3 linked regions of the Oryzias latipes genome follow. The protein of the gene in region 3 interacts with the protein of the main gene of each other region in a pairwise test. Links are inferred from orthologs where the notes say so. Each region holds a gene or a part of one and is shown on either strand. Other genes may lie near its edges.

What was found.
Region 1: the proteins of dvl3 (region 3) and pitx1 interact in binary tests that used the Homo sapiens proteins (3 or more experiments, as listed by UniProt). The two-hybrid records come from large-scale screens. The link is inferred for Oryzias latipes from reciprocal best matches to the Homo sapiens genes DVL3 and PITX1.
Region 2: the proteins of dvl3 (region 3) and csnk1d interact in binary tests that used the Homo sapiens proteins (3 or more experiments, as listed by UniProt). The two-hybrid records come from large-scale screens. The link is inferred for Oryzias latipes from reciprocal best matches to the Homo sapiens genes DVL3 and CSNK1D.

The regions. Positions count from the first base shown.
Region 1 is NC_019872.2:3,646,872-3,652,646, reverse strand, and holds the start of pitx1 (pituitary homeobox 1), read right to left. Parts: upstream 3,598-5,775; 5' UTR 3,456-3,597; intron 2,741-3,455; 5' UTR 2,732-2,740; coding exon 2,686-2,731; intron 1-2,685. UniProt on the Homo sapiens protein: Sequence-specific transcription factor that binds gene promoters and activates their transcription. May play a role in the development of anterior structures, and in particular, the brain and facies and in specifying the identity or structure of hindlimb.
Region 2 is NC_019866.2:24,955,928-24,961,788, forward strand, and holds the start of csnk1d (casein kinase I), read right to left. Parts: upstream 3,598-5,861; 5' UTR 3,206-3,597; coding exon 3,130-3,205; exon of another isoform or gene 1-3,129. Other genes in the region: engase (cytosolic endo-beta-N-acetylglucosaminidase), read left to right, coding at 5,508-5,587. UniProt on the Homo sapiens protein: Essential serine/threonine-protein kinase that regulates diverse cellular growth and survival processes including Wnt signaling, DNA repair and circadian rhythms. It can phosphorylate a large number of proteins.
Region 3 is NC_019875.2:21,518,418-21,524,212, reverse strand, and holds the start of dvl3 (segment polarity protein dishevelled homolog DVL-3), read right to left. Parts: upstream 3,705-5,795; 5' UTR 3,258-3,704; coding exon 3,097-3,257; intron 1,543-3,096; coding exon 1,473-1,542; intron 1-1,472. Other genes in the region: coatomer subunit beta', read right to left, coding at 4,809-4,904, 5,101-5,232, 5,368-5,445, 5,553-5,690. UniProt on the Homo sapiens protein: Involved in the signal transduction pathway mediated by multiple Wnt genes.

The DNA.
Region 1 (5,775 bases), on a different chromosome or scaffold from region 3:
GCTGAATAAACATTTGCTGTGTGACACAGGCCTGCCCAGTTACTGTTCCCTGTGTGTGAAATGTGCACGGTGATGTCGAGTTTATTTAAAGTATGAGCTACGCGCACAAAGGCACAATCAGGGGTGATAAATGGCGCCTCGGTGGACCTCACAATGCTGAACCTTTGTGTCTGACGGCGACAAGCGGCACAGTTCCAAGCAAACAGGAGGAGAAGAACCGTCTGTTGACAGCAGGGGATCTGTCTGCTCTTTGCCCAAACAAGCTGTGATTTACAATCTGGCCTTTTCAGAAAGATGTTTTTCCCTCTGGAGCGCTGACCTTACAGTTTCTTTTTTTCTGGGACGCAAACATTCTGCCTGGATGCGATTAAATGAAGCCACTGATGGGAACATATTTGTTCCTTTAGTTGGCACTGACGCACACGCTGCAGTCGGTGGTGCTGTGGCGCGAGCGCTCCAAGAACATCCAAACCGAATTGAGCTCTGCGCCCTGAAGCTGCTGTTGTGTGGCTGTTTAGAAAAGACTATAGTTTTTTTCTTTGAAATAAATAACATCTTATTTTATTTAATTTCTACTATTTTCTTTTCTGCATAAATGTTTTTCTTTTCAGTTTATCGTCTTGCGTAAAATAGGATTGCGGCTGTCAGATGGCGCGTGGACTAAATATTGTGTTCTCGGTTTGATCTTTTGTTAAAAAAGCGAATAACTGTGACCAATGTCTAACACAATTGTTAGATGTTTTATGACACATTGAGTGTGCTTCCCTGTTAACCTCACACAGCTTTTCACCTCCACAGTAGAGATGGAATTGCCTCACGCACCAACGGCGCTGCTCTTTCTCTAAATATATAAAAAGTATCTTGTATGACTCCTTTGACCCTCGAGCATCGCTGATCTCATGCAATTAGTTTCTGCCTCAGCCAATAAGACGGCTGCTGATCCCAACAGTGTGAAGTTACCCGGCCCGCTGCGTTGGAGCAACGCGGCCAGCAGCTCGACTGAAACCGTCTGAAACCCCGGCTGCTACCGGCGCCACTGTCAAGCTTTTTTCTGCCTCTGAAGGACAAAGACTTGACATGAGATCCTCGTCCGACCGGAAAACTTCCCCGAAGGTCTTTCTGAGCATAATTGTGCAATCACTCAATAACTGCATGGATCTTGGTTCAACTGCGCCGCCTCTCTGTGCAAAGGCCTCACCTGCATTTGCCTGACAAATGAGATTGTTTAGTGTGAATCTAAACCGTTAATCTAAATTACTTTTTGAGAATTTCATCTTTATTTTGCTCTCAGTTCTTCCTCGAGATGACCGTCCAACATGCAGCACTTCCACCGAATGCAGCCAGAGTAAAGAAACCAAACCAAAACTTCAGGGCATCACTGACGTTTGAAATTAAATGAAGAAATGCAACCAGGAGGCTTGATCGCCATTTATTTAATTTGCCTGAATGAATTTCCTGTCTCCACAGATCATATAATCCCATATTTTTAATAATTTGGAATCATACCAAGTTTGAAGTATGCACCTTGTAAAAAAAAGAATCTCTTACAGCTGGAAAGAGTTGTCAGTTTAGATCACAACCTAAAGTCGAAGCTACGCAAGGATCATAACAAACCCAGTGACCTCGCAACTCCACGCCAGAATATTAAGGGATTTGCAGGACATGGAGATCTATCTGCTGAGTGCTACCTTCTTCTCTGTCCCCACGCTGTGAGCTGATAAATGGTGGTAACCCAAATACTCATCCTCCATCCCTGCCCGTGTCCTGATGCTCCACTCCTCTGGAGGGCACTTGCGCGTGATGGATGACTTAAAAAGCCTTTCCATCCGGCAGGACAGGTTAAAGGCCAGTGGCAAAGCAAATACTCATATTTGTCCATGAAGAAGTGAAAATAAAACCAAGGAGACGTCATCAATTACGCATCAAAGTACAGTCTTTGTGTTTTTTGTTTTTTTGTTTTTTGTTTTACTTGTTGGGCACAGCAAAGCCAAGCAGCGGGAAAACGAATCATCTAGAAAACCGAAGCTGCAGATTGAAAGGCTGGTCCGCAGCGATGTAACTGAACCCGGTTAGTAACTGGAGAAGGACAGAGCCGATTATTGCCTAGGTGATGGTTTTCCTTCTGGCCCAAAGGCCTTCTTGACCTGCAGTCTGACCGGCAACAAACAGCTTTACAGAGCAGAGCGCCGTGCCAACAAAACGCCTGCTAACGTCGAGATCACAAAAAAACACACAGGAGAAAGAGATCAGCAGCGTTCCTCTAACTTTTCAAGAGTTTTAGTTCGACTGAAGCCTTAAAATTAGGCTGTAAAAACACGTTGCACAAATATATGAAAGATTTTAAACAAGAAGACACAGAAGTCCACCATGAATCCTCATAAACTGAAATAAAATCTTATGCGCAATGTTTAAGAGCATGCGCAACAACGCGTTAATACCGATTTTTGTCTTTTGGATGAAAAAACAATGGTATTTTAGATATTAAACTTATCACACCCATAACTCATTTCATTGTCCTGTTTTTTTCATGATCAGAAATGGAATTAGTTGAGGTCAAAACCGGCATTTATTTAAAAAATCCAAGGAAGACTGTTTTACACGGACTGATTTAAGACTTTGTATTTCAGGGAATTTTTACAAAAACTAAAACTGTGAGCGAGAAAAGAAGAAAAGTAGAACTGATACCTTGGTCCCCACAGGAAATAACATTCTTTGATAGATTCAGTTCCATTCCAGATGCCTGAAACACACAAATTCAATATGTTGAATAGAAGGATTTTCTTTTTCTTTGTTGTTCTTTAATCCTGGTAAAATAATAAAAAATAAACATGTAAAATTCAAAAGGAATGTCAAAGCAGAATGAACATTAAACCCTTTAAATATTTCTACCATACATTTTTTTTCATTTCCATTTACAAATCCTACGCTAAACAAAAATAAAATCAATGTAAAAGCAATAATCTTCTCTGTCCTCTATGACATCTGTCAAATGTCTGTCATAATTTGATCAATATGCGTTCTTGGAGTTTTGGCCAAACAGAAACATCGCTGACCAAACTTCACAGACGCAAAGGTTACCTTTACCATGACACTGCGCGCATTCTCACACAAAGCTGCTCTTATCTACAGGAATCCTTTTGCTGCTTTTATGTCCACAGTAAATCTTCACTCAGAACGCACAGCCCTGCTTCACTCCCGTCCTTTCACCGAGCTGTAGGCAGCAGTCTGAGTGCTTCATGTGCTTCACACGGATGCTCAGAGACCTCGAACAGCTCTGGATCTATGGATGTTTTTTAAAAAAATCTGAAGCTGAGGCTTAAATCCTGATCGCTCCCGTGCGTAAAGTTCCATTAAACTCAGGGCAGGGCAACCTCAAAGTAAATGTTTGTCATTTACTTTGACTGGCTGCTTCAATAATGCTCAATACATTTAGCAATATTTCTAATTTTACTCACCAGTCAGTTCCCAGCAGAAGACAGAAAAAAAATGTAACAAAGCCTCACAGTGTCCCCATGCAGGTGTTCAGTAAATCCACTCGGGCTGTAGCGCGTGAACGCTGTGTCCGCGGATGTCGGCGCTTTACGCGTCTGTGCAGCGCTGTCTTGGTTTTCTTCCCCGGCACTCCGCTGCACGCCTCGCGCTGACGTCACCACAGTCATCCCATCCATCCCTCAAACCAGCACCCCCCACCCACACACACTCACACACACACACACACACACTGAGGCCGGTGGTACTGCCGCATCACATCGTTCAACCTCCTGCATTTGCACATTTTCAGTGTTTCTTCATGAACTTAGATCCCTACGGTTTGCTGAACATTAGTCGTCATTAACAGAAACAGTTCATCGCTCATTTTATTTAACACTTTTAAATTCATAAAAGTTTTTTATTCCTTTAAACCAATTGAGAAAATCCGCCAAAGTGCGCGTGTTACCAGTTAAGTCTTATTTGAACTTATTGTGGCGAAAAACGATTCTAAATAAATCTCAAAAACATATGCGTCACTAAAGAAGTGAAATAAAATTGTATTTATTTATAATCTTTAATAATATCTAAACATAAAAAAATAAGGACACATTTTAGAATGCACACAACCCATACTTTTTCTATTGACTATTTCCCCATTTAAGCTTTACAAAAAATGCAGTTTTAGAAATAAAAAGTTTAGATTTTCCAAATATATCATAAAATTGAGAATATGTATTGTCCGTACAATATTCTTTAATTTTATCTTAGAAAAAACACATTTCTAAGAGTAAATCTGCAGAAAACAAATCATTTTGAAAAATCGTATTCGCTTATTTTATTCTCTGAATATTTAATAAAATCGACGACACGTTTATTTTTATTCTTCAACTCTCCTATCTCAGATTTTTTGGGGGGTTTGTTTGTTATAATAGTCCCTGAGTTTTTTCTTTTTATTTAGTTTTTATTAGTCTCGTTTAATCAAACGTTTTTAACTTTAACAGATGTTTTTATTTAATCGAATACGCTGGAATGGGGACGGGAGCTGTTAAAGTGAAATGAGGTGACTCGGTTCGGGAGGTAATGGACCTGTTCCCCGTTTGAAAAGGGAAACAGGTGAAAACAGTGGAGTGTTTGTGTGAGAAGCGCAGCAGCAGAGAGGAAAAAACGGACGTTTCTCCTGCAGCAAACAGTCCAATGATTCAGGTCAAATGAGGCTGATTGAACAAGAAAAGTAAAATGTATTGAATATGTGTCGTTTTTAATTAATTGATCAACTGATCCAAAAAGGTTTGTTTTTGTATCTGCGATCATGATTTTGGACCCCAAAAAATGATGTCAGTCTCCAGCTGCTGGATCATGGCTTCATCGTACCAAATATTATTTCCAGAGTCGCCCTCTTTGGGGCTGAAACATGAGAGAAAGTGTGAAATTTGTCGCACTGTAATACTTTCCTTTTTAAGTGAGCCAAGCGCTGCGCGCAGTGCAAAGCCCGGCTCTGCGAGAGGGATCCAGGGGGGATTAAAGCGGCGCTGCGGGCCTCCCTCATCCCGCAGCAAAAGCTCTCCTCATCTGCCTTTTTCCCTCCGCTGCAGCTTCTATTCTTCCCGAGCCAGTTGGTGTGAAAAACACCAGGCTGCCTGTTTCTCCTGCACGCATGGAGGCAGAAAACCTGCTTGTTTTATGGGAACATTCACATTTTTAACATTTACCGTTATTTGAACTAAACTGTGAAAACATTGAACGGAACTTTTTTGTTGTTTAATTTTTGAGGCACAAGTTTAAATCTGTGGCTTAAAGCGGACCCCGTTCAGAATGCAACTGTACCCACTAAATACTTGAAAAGTCCGAATCAGCCAGTGCAATTGTCTACCTGTGAGGCCTGCATTGCTAAATAATGACTTCTTCACACACACAGTTGTGCACACTCACACACACACACACTGTAATTAGGCAGTAGGCTGGCAGGAGAATGCTGTGATTACTCAACGAGTGACTCGAGGAGTTAAGTAGCACCCTGAAGGTGAGGCCGTGGCCTCTTCACTCCTGTGTAAATAGGTGGAGGGATTATTTAGCCCATTTAGAGTGTGTGTGTGTGTGTGTGTGTGTGTGGAGGGGGAGGTGTGTGTCTGTGGCCAGGACCTGTCTGATGGTCACCTCTGCAGCGTAAATAGTTATTCCGAAATAACAGAACAGCTAATAGAAGATTGGAAGGAGGAAAACAAGCTCACACCCCACCAGGTGTGACTTTGTGTCTTCGGTGTGTTTGCAGAACGTTCAGCACACGACTATCACACAACTTCGGAG
Region 2 (5,861 bases), on a different chromosome or scaffold from region 3:
GATCAAGACCAAAACCTGGAGCTGCAGACGATGACATGTGACCGACGGGAACGTATGCAGTAAACATGGGGGGAACGTGAGGCACACAGGAGACCCCCCCCCTGCTCCGGATGCCATTATTGAAAAGGTGAAAGGGCACGCTAAACAAGGTCTTCAGAGACCCTCCCCCAAATTGCAAAAGAAAAGTGACCACCGTGAGGAAGCACAGCACTCGTCGTCACGGTGACGTCAGTTTGACCACAGAAACAGCCGTAAACCGTCATCAGTGATGGTGATCGGTGAGTCAGTGCGTGTGACGAGCCCGCTGGCCGTTAGCGCTCTGCCTCGCCGTTAAACAAACCCCTCCCTGCAGAACATTCTCATGTTACCAGCATACCACAGAGACGGTATCTGTCGGACAGGCTCCCTCCTGTCAGACGGGTTACAGGCTCCGGCTGCAGGTTGACGTTACAAAACACACGTTTACAGTTGGTTCAGAAAGACTCCATTGTTCAAGCATTTCATTTCTCAAACCAGATTACATAAGTCGGCTTCTCTGACACACTAGTTCTGATCTAATTTCACTTGGAGACCAAAACTCAAAGTCTGAAAAGATACAAGGCAATAACTACATGTACTCTATCATATTATTCTATAAAGCACGATAGCAGAGTGACTTCTATTGAGCTGTTTTAGTCTGGCATGAACGTCGTGTTGAGACAACCACTCCTCCAAAACAAACTAATGTTCTTACAGTGCCGTCCTGCCTCTTTTCTGATCTTATGGATTTACATTGATAGATTTGATCCAGATATTCAGCTGAAGGTAGGACAAGGATATCTGGAGGACAAGCCGTACACGGGACACCCTAGATGTACCCAGTGTAAATATAACAGAAGGAATATTTTGATTGATGGCAGAGAAATGGTCTAATGGGGTGTAGTATGAGGACATAACAGCCCCTCCCTCAGTACACAGTGCATACTTGTATGTGAAGCACTTTAAAATATTCTAGTTATTAAAAAAATGTGATCCAAAGCTGGTAATCAGTTGTTCAGTGTGAAGCGTCGTTATGCAGTAAACATGTCAACAGGTAAAACCATTAAAGTAGCTGGGAATTCAAAGAGACACCAGCTTTATAACTAATAATCAGTCACCACAGACCAAAAGCTATCCAACTACAACTCACCAGAAAAATGCATGCATAGTTAAGAACTTCACTTCCCAGCATGCCCTGCTGCTGTCACAAAAGGCAGAATCAGGCTGTTGGTTCTAGTTCAAATCTAGAGCTTTATGAAAGAATGAAGATTATAGAGATGCATTTTTAAACGTTTTTAAACCCGGAGGTCAGGTTAGTCATCTCTCTGGGGGCAGAAGACAAAAACCATAAAGTGGTTATGCAAGCAGCTGGCTCCACGCCATCAGGCCCGGCGGTCACGTGGAAGGAGGGCTGGATACAATTATTTACTCTCCTGGGTCCTGTTTCTGCCTGCAGAGCCCTGTCCTCTTCCAACGTTAAGGTGTGTTTTCAGTGGATTAACCTCAAGCAGAGCCCGCCTTCACAGGCTGATGGCAGCCTGGTGTATTTAATGGAGTTTGTAGTTAAACCATGATATCCACACGTGTTATTACACTTTAATGATAGTCATCAGTTTGAGCTCATCAAGTGAGGTGTGTAACGTTTGAAAGAATCCGTCAAAACTCTGCTGTGTTCACACCTGAACTGGGCTGAAAGCTAACAGCCCATTACTATAGCTCCATAACACAACAGAAGAGCAGCAAAGCCAGTGGGGGTTTTCTATAGAACCACCCACACTAGATCTTCAGCAGCATGTTCCTGATACAAAAGGCAACATTGCCCTCAGAACAGAAGTACAACTAAGGTAGAAGTGTGCTGATTGGCTGCTGATCATCATCACCGCAGAAATAAAAACAAGACATGTCAGCTTCTTCCTGCAGATAATCCGCTGTGGCTCTTTGTTTACTGCCTGTTCCTCTTTGCAGATTTGTTGTCTGGTACTATGAAGGGGAAATCATAAACGCTGAACATTACTAATGTCTGCAAATCAAAAGGGCCACACATAAAGGCTCAAACGGATAAACTTCTTACTGAGAAGGTTTCTGGAATGACCTCCACATGTCTACGGTGGAGTCAACAGTCACAACAACATTTTTACCTCCATGGAGGCTTTTCCTTGACCTCACTGTGAAATGTTCTGGAGTCACTAAAAAGCAGGAACCAGACGTAAACGGAAGGAGCTTTGAAATGCCAACGTATGAAAGTCACGGTCATGTGCTGCTTCTCCAACACCCATCTGATTTTATTTGGATACAGTCAAATGTGTGGAGGAGAATAACTGACAGTCAGATACGTCCACATTATATCGTAATGTCTTTTCTGAGTGGAGATCTTCAGCTGTGAAAATGGTCTCGATCCAAAACTCAGGATTGTTTTTTTATTTACACAGTTTTATTGTTAAGAGCTGAATGTCAGACTCCAGCTATGCTGTTGCTGCTGAATACAAGTACAACTAGAAACATAATCCAATCCCAGACTGTAACCATTAGCAAACAATACGATGTCATAGATGGGATCAGGAAACAGACAGACAGCTGGATGTAAAGAAACCTTTGCCTGGTGGACGTTGGGCCTTCCTGATTATATCTGGACAGACAGACAGGACGCTTCCTTATAGAGTAAATGTGTTTCAGGTAAATCCACAACAGAAACACAAGAACACATGCATAAATGAACGGAAGTGTTTCGTTTAAGGACATGATGAAGCCTCGGTTTCTGAGTCCTTCAGAAACACACAGACAGACAGACAGACGGACAGACGGACAGACGGACAGACAGGGCCTCGTCCCAGAACTGCGTCCTTATAACCGGTCCAGTTCCACCATCGGTACGCTAAGCCGTCACAAAACGTCAAAGACCAAATCTTCAGAGTTTAACAGGAAGAATTCTGAACATCTCGGACTAAATGCTGCTTCAGACAACAGCCGAGTCTGCTAGCCTCTTAGCTAATGCTGCTAACAGCTGATCGTCGCTGAGCCGTTCAGGACACCCCGGAAAGAAGTCAGACCAGCCGCCCGACTCCCCTGATCGGCAGGTAGGGACCAGACCACGGCGTTTCCGTCACAACATACCCAGGTAGATGTCTCCAAACGAGCCGCTTCCAATTTTTCTGCCCAGTCTGTATCGGTTTCCAACTCTTAACTCCATGGTGAAGGTTCTGTGGTCAACCAGCTCTCTCTGAAAACGTTCAGACCTAAAGCACTTGGCAGTAAATCAAATAAAAAACAAAGAAAAGCGGGAACGAGCAGCGGCGGCGGGTTTCTGCCCAAAATCCGTTCCCCGGTGAGCAGTATGTATCCGGATGAAGACGGCTTCCAACAACAATCTTTCGCCTTCGCTTTTAAAATGTTACAAACGTCATATCGTGACAATACAGCGCTTTCTAGAAAGCTTAAAGTGTCCACGTTATGCTCGTGATGTCTTTTAGGTCGATAAAAGCTAAATTTCCGAGGATGACAACGGATTTTGGACAGAGTCTGGCGTCGCTGTGGGTCTCCCGCGTCCTGTGGCGCTGCTGTGAGCAGAACTCAGCAATCTGCTCCGCTCTGACGTCACTTCCGGTCCAGAGGAGCGGGGGGGGGGGGGCAGTTTGAAAGGTGTCGAGTTCCAAGCAGACAGCAGCAAAACAGCGGTTTGAATATAAGACACTGAAATAATTATAGAGATGACAAAATATGATTTTAATGCAACAATTGATACACAGATTATACAGATTAAAGTATTCTGTAATCACACTTTGAAATTAAAACAGGAACTATTTTTGTTACATTGATAAATAAATATTTTGATCTGAAAATGCATTTGAATTTTTTTTTTACTGCTTCTTCTTTTTCATTCTGCTGCTGCCTTTAGGGGGCGCCAAAGAAAATCATCGGACTCCGTCCAACCTTCTCTGCATCCTCCTCTCCATCCATGACCCTCCTCTTTGGTCTTCCTCTCTTTCCTGGCAGCTCCAGCCTCAGCATCCTTTCACCATCATCATCACTGTTCTTCCTCTTAAACATCTCCATCTGCTTGGATCTCCAGAACATCTGTGATCCGATCCTCTGATGGATCCATTCCTGATCCATCCTGGTCCCACAGAGAACCTCAGCATCTTCCTCTCTGCTGCCTCCAGCTCTTCCTCCTGACTCTGTGTCTGAACCGGGGGTCTCCACCGTGAGCCTCACGCGGCGCTTTTATTCCACTATTGTGGCTCTCTGACTTTGAAGAAAAATACAAACGATTTGAATAAATGTTGGCATTTATTTTAAGATTTTTTAACTGAGGTGAACTTCCATTAGCAGAATAAACTCTACTTATATTAAACCACTGCTGGGAGTTGCCATACTAAGAGGCTTGTGTGTCTAACCTCGTCTCTCAGTCTGTCCATCACCAAAGAAACAAGAAGGCGCTCAAAGCTGATCCTTGGCGTAGTCCCACCTCCATCTTCTCTTCTCTTGTCTCCCGGTTGTTCTGAAGATCTCCAACATTCTTCTCTGTCCCTGCAGACTTCTTCATCCAAACCACAGCTCTGCTCTCGTTTTCTGAAAAGACAACCAAACCACACTATTCCTACTTCAGGTTAGAAAATCTTTTTACTTTTGTTGGTTTAATGAGGCGATTGATTTTCCTAAATCCCATTGCTTTTACTGGCTGCATTTTTTATACATTTGTAATAGATTTTATTAAAATGTTCATGAATTACTTGATTAGAAATCCTATTTATTAGATGTTCTTTTTTATTTATACTGAAATTGATCACAGATTGTACTATAAGACACTCCTAGTCTTCCACACGTCACCTACAGTCAAAGAAGCTCATCCTGTCATGTTGCCTTGCATGAATGAGCTGTAGCATTTTACATCAGAATCTGGAAATGCATGTTAATAAACAGGGTTAACCTTCTACATAGTTCTTTACAATACCTTAAGCCTCAAAGGTTAATGAGTCAAGTGACCAACAAAAAAAGAAAAAAAAGTGTAAAAAGTAAATTCAGATGAGTACATAACACCTATGACTCATACTGCGTTATTAGAATTACATTAAGTTTCAGTTTAAATTGTATTTAACATGAAGCTAATTAAACTCCAATTAAAAATAAAGTTTTCTTTAAAACCCCTCCAAAACCAGACCAGCCACCTCTAATGTCAAAAATTAAAATTATACATTAAAAGGATGGTGTTAAAAAGCTCACTGTAATTGAAATGAAAGAAAAAAACGACAACAAAGAACTTAGAAACACTTTTAAAATCATGATTATGTTTTTTTTCCAGCAAAGTTTAGGATTTTTGTTTATATGCAGTTTTTTCCCCTCAAAACGGTGCGTTTTCGTTTTCACTAAATGTTCTTCACAGTAAAAGTGAACCTCTTCTTTCCTGCTTTTATTCTGAAGGAAAAACCGGAAACACGTCGAGTCTACTTCCTGTCCCGGCTTTCTTTCCGGTTTTTCTCGCTGAATGAAGAGAAATGGCAGAAACTGCGAAGGAAACCGGAAAATCTGCAGCAAAAAATTCCGACGAAAGACAGACGGAAGCAAAACGCGTCAAGTAAGGTTTCTGAAACGCTGTTTCTTACTGTCTTCCTGTTGTTTGCCTTTAACTTTCACCTTGAAGCTCCGAGAAACTAGGGTAGTTTCAAATTAATGATTGACAGACAGTTACAGAAGTGCGGTGATGAAGTTAGTTTTAGGTTGGATATTCCACAGACATTCAGCGCGGATGTCCAGTGGGGTCTCTTAGGGACCGTCAACAAATTAACAAGTGCATGATGGGATGGAGAAGATTTTAGATCAAACCTAAAGGCTTTGCAAAAAGAAAGAAA
Region 3 (5,795 bases):
CTGGGCCAAGACCTAATGTTTGTGTATTTAAAGGTGTTGCTTAGGTTACCAAGTAAATAGGAAAAATAGCTTTCAACAGAAAACAACAGCTGTTATGAAGGCGTGGTACCAGTAAATTGGACCTTTTCTTTAAAAAAGGTGGTCTACTTTCTTTCCTTTAGTTTCGGTTACTCACGTTTATGTGACCAGTAAAGAGAACATGCATTCCATTTGTGAAGGTCCCAAATAATTTATTCAAAGCAAATTTACACATTAATAAATAAAACACTTGTGTTCGAGTAATCCACAAATAAAGAATTCATCTTTTAACATACTTTCAAATATAAAGCACAAATTCAATCTGAGTCAGCTTCAACACATTTTTAAAATATTATCCGTGTTAAAAGATTATTGAAACGGGTTAAATGATGGCATGTCGGCCAGGAAGGAACACTACTCTGTCCTGGAATGAAGCAACATTATCTAATAAAGCTTAAGTTTATCAGGTAATTGATAACGAGAATATGAAATTTATACTTCACTGGCAAGATTAGAGAAATGAACATAAATTAGAATGAACTGCTCCAATAGTGGATCCATAACAGCGTTTTATGACCTCATTAGCAAAGGACTTCTTTCACTACCAACATTTTTGGCTTTTAAGAAAGTTCAGCAGGAAGTAAGGAAGACAATAATCTAATCATTTTTGACAAAGTTTACGCAAATCAACTGATTTTCTTGCAATAAAGTGCAGTCAAGCTGAAATCAGTGTGCTGGACTGTTGTGATGAATAATGGCTCCCTTGGGATCAACCAACCACATCACTGACAAAACAGATGAGTGCTAGAGATTAACAAACGGATGAATCTAAAATAATAGTTCCTAGTATATCAGAAAAAAATGGGTAACAACCCTAAAGAATTTAAAATTTCATAAAAAATACAAACCTGACCACAAAGCTAAAAAAACACAGCAACATATCTAGCAATCATGGTGTGTTTATGGCTCTCAAATGAAACATTTAATCACAAACACACAGTATAATATTAGCATTTTCATATCAACCCACAAAACTCTCACAACTCCAGCCTTCCTCTCTGCGATATTCAATTTTCTTGTTAAATGACACACAGTAGGACCCTTTGGTAATGAGCAATCCACCGCTATCCTGTGATTTCACTTGTCTTTAATCCAATTTCAGTGTTAAAAGGAAACAGACTGTTAACCAGAACCAAATCTTTTGTCTAAAAGCCAATGCAGGATTTCTGTTTATCCCCAAAAGTTGTAAAACATTTATAACAAAAAAAAAGGAGTTTGTATTATGCTGGAGATCATAGTTTGATAGTGATGTTCTTGTACACACACACAGGTAGGTTGAAGTCCCTCTAGAATTGGTCCAGCAGAAGGAAATCCTTGTAATAGTTGCAAACGAATTGTCTGGCAGTGGTTTATAAAAAACACACAAAAACATCTATTCTGGATTTTGAACATACCCATGACACCACACGTCCATTGAAACAGGGCAGCTTCGCGTTGTCATCCGATATTTCTTCTTTTACCACCCTGTGAATAAAGCAAAGGTTTCAGTGAAACAAGAACATGAGATGAACAACACCAACTGATGCAATGCATTCATTCCATTTTCATAGAGAACTAAGAACAAGTCTAAAATAAAATGAAGAAAAAAAGCAGCAAAGGTGTATTATTACAGATATGTAAGGGTTAAAAAGTGGTTGATAGCAGTCATGTTTCGTGTATTACAGTGTCTAAAGAATGAAAACAGCTGTAAAGTTTCCATCAGACATCTTTCAGCACTCCAGGAAGTCAAAAGCATTGTAGTCCTTCATGTGGTGCAAAACCAACTGGTCTCAATCACATATCACATAGGAAACTGACTACATAATAAAGTAGAGCTTCTTTGGAGGAAATGCATAAAAGGAATTTAAAATAAAATAAAAAATGCAGGAAACAAAATCTTTTTGTGTGTTTGGTTCCTTTCCAGTTGATTTCTGTTGGGCTTTGTACTTTAAGTTAATTGTTGTGTTCCTGGTCTATTTTTTTCACAGAGCTATAAACTGTCTGTCCTGTTGTTACAGACGAGGTGGGGTCATTTTAACCCGCACTCTATAAGGCACCATTCTTTTAGGTGTCAGCATCTCTATTTTCCAAGTAAATGCCCAATATCTTTTATTGATATGCAGTAAACTGACTAAAGCTGAGGGTTGGCTTTCCTAATGTCTGTGCTGTGCTTTTGCTTTACCAAAAGGGGTGTAGATTTTAAAATCAAGTAACTGAAGCTATGCAGTGCAATAAAAAAAAAGACTTTAAGGTTTTCAAAATGTAAATAGATTTTAAAAAGAAAAAGCTAGCCCCAGCAATTAAAGGTTTTGTCCCACCCTAAGTTTGTATTTATGAGGGCAAGTGTGAAAACCTGACTAAAAAGGGTTTAAAAAAGACCGCACTGGCTGTCTGGATAGACGCGGATAGTCTACATTTTCAGGGGCTTTCTGTTTTTTTCTTCCCCTTTGTTAAAGACTAAAACACATGCTTATAAAGCTGCCAACATGATGAACAGGACATTCTTGTGTCTAACGCTGCATTCCTCGGGCTAATAGACAACAACAGCAGGGGCCTGCGGGTCTGGACCAAACTCAAAGTGGCCCTTCATGTTCTGACACCGTCCTGCTAGCATGGATGCTACATTAGCCAGCAACTGACAGCACTGAGGTTGGCAACTAGTACTTCTTTTAAATCCACACAATGTTTAAGCCAGTCTGGGGTTTTCTCGTGTGTTTATGACACTGACTAATAATACCAAACTTGGTCAGACAAATCTGAAGAAGCGCGAGGCGTATACGTTAGCCACACGCGCAATGTAAACAAACGAGAGCTGGACGCTGAACAGATCAGCTAACGGTACAAGCCTGACTAGCTAACAAAGAAACAGCTGAGCAAAAGGTTAGCAAATAATATAGTCTAATAATGTCAAAGCCGTATTTATGGGAAGTCGACGGAAGGGAAAACAAACAAGGAATCGCACAGCAAAATCTTCCTGAAAAGCATATTTCACTGACTCCTTCAGTTCTTGACAGAGAAAATCCGCTCTTTAATAGTTACCCGAAGTCATCATCCATCGATTTGAAGAAAAATTTGTAATTTGGTTTCTTGATGACATTTTTAAAGTCCGCAAGAGTGACTCTGTCTGCCGGGACAGACAGTTTCACCAGGTACGGCGTCTCCTGATCGTCGAGGTGGTAGATAATTTTCGTTTCCCCCATCCCGGACTGTGGTTAAGGCAAGGCAGGCTGGGTACATCAAGCCGAGGGCCTGGCAGGCTCCCTCTCGGGCCCCTACTCCCCGTGGCGCTGGTGGAGGCTGTCCCGTGGTCTTCCTTGGGTTTCTTGGTCCTATAGAGTAGTTCTTTTTAGTTTTGCTTCTGATTTTATACAGCTGCTGATAGACAAACGGGTCTCTTTCTGTGGAATGGTAATAAATATTTTCCCTGTCTGTCGTGTCTAAAAGTGTACCACCAGCGCCATCCGACGTGAATCGCTTTCGCTGCGGGTTCTGTAAACTTTCACAAAGCTGCTAAAAACGCCGAAAAAAGACAATAAGGTCTGGGAAAACATGGCAAACAAAGATTCTCAAAATGTCATTCTCACAACAGCTTTCTCCCTCGTCCCTTTGCCAACCTCTGCACTTTGTTGAACACGAAACTGAGAAAAAAAAGAAAAGGGAAAATACTAAAACCTGTTCTAGAAAAGAGCGACACCATCAGGAAAGGAGTAGAATTGCACGAACCACGTCACAGAGGAGAAAGCTGTGGTGTAGGGTTTCACGAAGTGAATCCTAACTAAAATAAATCAACGGAAGTTTTTTGTTTTAAATTCTGAATTGACAATTAATTTTTTTATTTTAAAATATATTTTTAAATTGACAATTTAATTTGCAAATCAGGCTTGCAATCTGAAAAGGCCTTTTGCAACTTAGATTTCATTATGAAAAATTACAATTCAATCTCACATAAAATAAAGCTAAATCAAATTTATTTTAAATTGCAATGGGGTTTTGATACCAAATTCAAAGAAAAATATATTTTTAATTGAAATTGAAATGTTTTAGTAACAAATATACAGAAATTAAGTGCAACATTCTTGTCAGTGATCCTGTCCTTGTTGACAGATCTCAGTGCTGCCCTGCTGTTAATGGGGAAAGTAAAATACTTAACACCCAAATTCCATTTTTTATATACATTTAAGGTATAAAAGCTTGATCTCAGATTTGATTTTTGAAATCTGTAGTTTTAATGTGCCCATAAGCAATGAGAGAAGTCAATCATACCTAAAGTCCTTACTTGATGTTTTTGAAACTGGCATTTAAAATTTAAAAAAAGTCTTTTCTAAAATCACCCCTTATTAGTTGTGTATTTTGCTTCTGTAGACCCTCCCCCAAAGTTTGAAGCCTAAGGAGAACGATAACAGTCAAAACTGTACAGCAACCACAATTTATTGGACTGAATCAACTTTGATTTGCATTAAAGGCAACACAAAGCAAAATGTGAATAACAATGTATAGTAGACAGAAAATCTTTTAAGTCTCCATCAATAAATGGCATAAAAATGGAGAAGTTACAACCTCCCCACCTTAATCTTCTGGAAAACAGAACAGAACTTGTATTATCTTCTAAAGGAATCCTTTCAAAAGCGGTAGGTCAACATGGCAATATTACACTTTTCATACAATAAAAAAAAAGAATGGGGAAAGGGGATTTGGTCCCTTTCATTTAAATATGTTCTGAAGAAAGTTTGGGAGCGCAAAAGCGGCAGGTTTCAATCTTCTAAGAAATCGTCATCGAGGTTAACATCTGTGGTGTCGATGTCGTCCAATTCCATGTTGTCCAGATCCACTTCTAGCTCATCCAGAGACTACGGAGAGACAAAAAAAAAACATTTAAAGCATTTGTTTGCTTCTTTGGATAAATGTTGCAAACAGATAACAAATTTGAAACGTGGTAATGAGGACTCTACATCCTGCAGTACAAATGCGCTCTGAATAGATACAATTTTTTGAAGTTTATTCATAAAATCTAAATTTTATAAAAACACCAAAAAAAAGCCTGACCTTCTCTTTCTCTGACTGTGCAAAATCAGGAAGGTCGTCCTCTGGCTCTTTTTCAGCTTCTTTAGGAGCCGGGGGTTCAGGCTGTGAAAGTATGACAGGAGCGACTGAGCTGGATTCTTCGCTGTCTTTTGTCTGGAAATAAATGCAGTAAAGTTAAAAAATTAAAGAAACATGTAAACTGGCAGAGCACTTTTCCAGAGTGCTACAGAGCTCAAGTCAGTTACAAGAAGAAATTGGATCAATAGAAGCAAAGTGCTGTAAACAAACCTCAGACACGAAGGGAATGAAAGTGCCTTTGGGCTCGTATCCCTGAGCTTCCTCCAGAATATTCCTGTCTTCATTGGGCTAAAAGTGTCAGAAATAGACTTATTTTAAATACATAAACATTCACTTTATTTAGTCACTTTAAAACTATGCACTCTGTAACTTTTGTCACAAAGAATAGAACTCACTGTGACTAGTGGATAGTCTTTAGCAGGTCTGGAGCCACCCACGCAGGTCTCTCTCAGGTAATGCTCTGCTGCAAAGGCTTCCTTCAGGCCTGGGAACAGGTTTTCATATTCTGTGGGGTCTGCGAGGGATTCAGCTGCCTGCAAATAGGAAGAAAATAAAAGAGAATAATGAACAGGAAACTTCCAAATCTGTCTGATTAACTCAAAGTTGCATCCACAGAAGCATCAAGCTACGGTAATTCC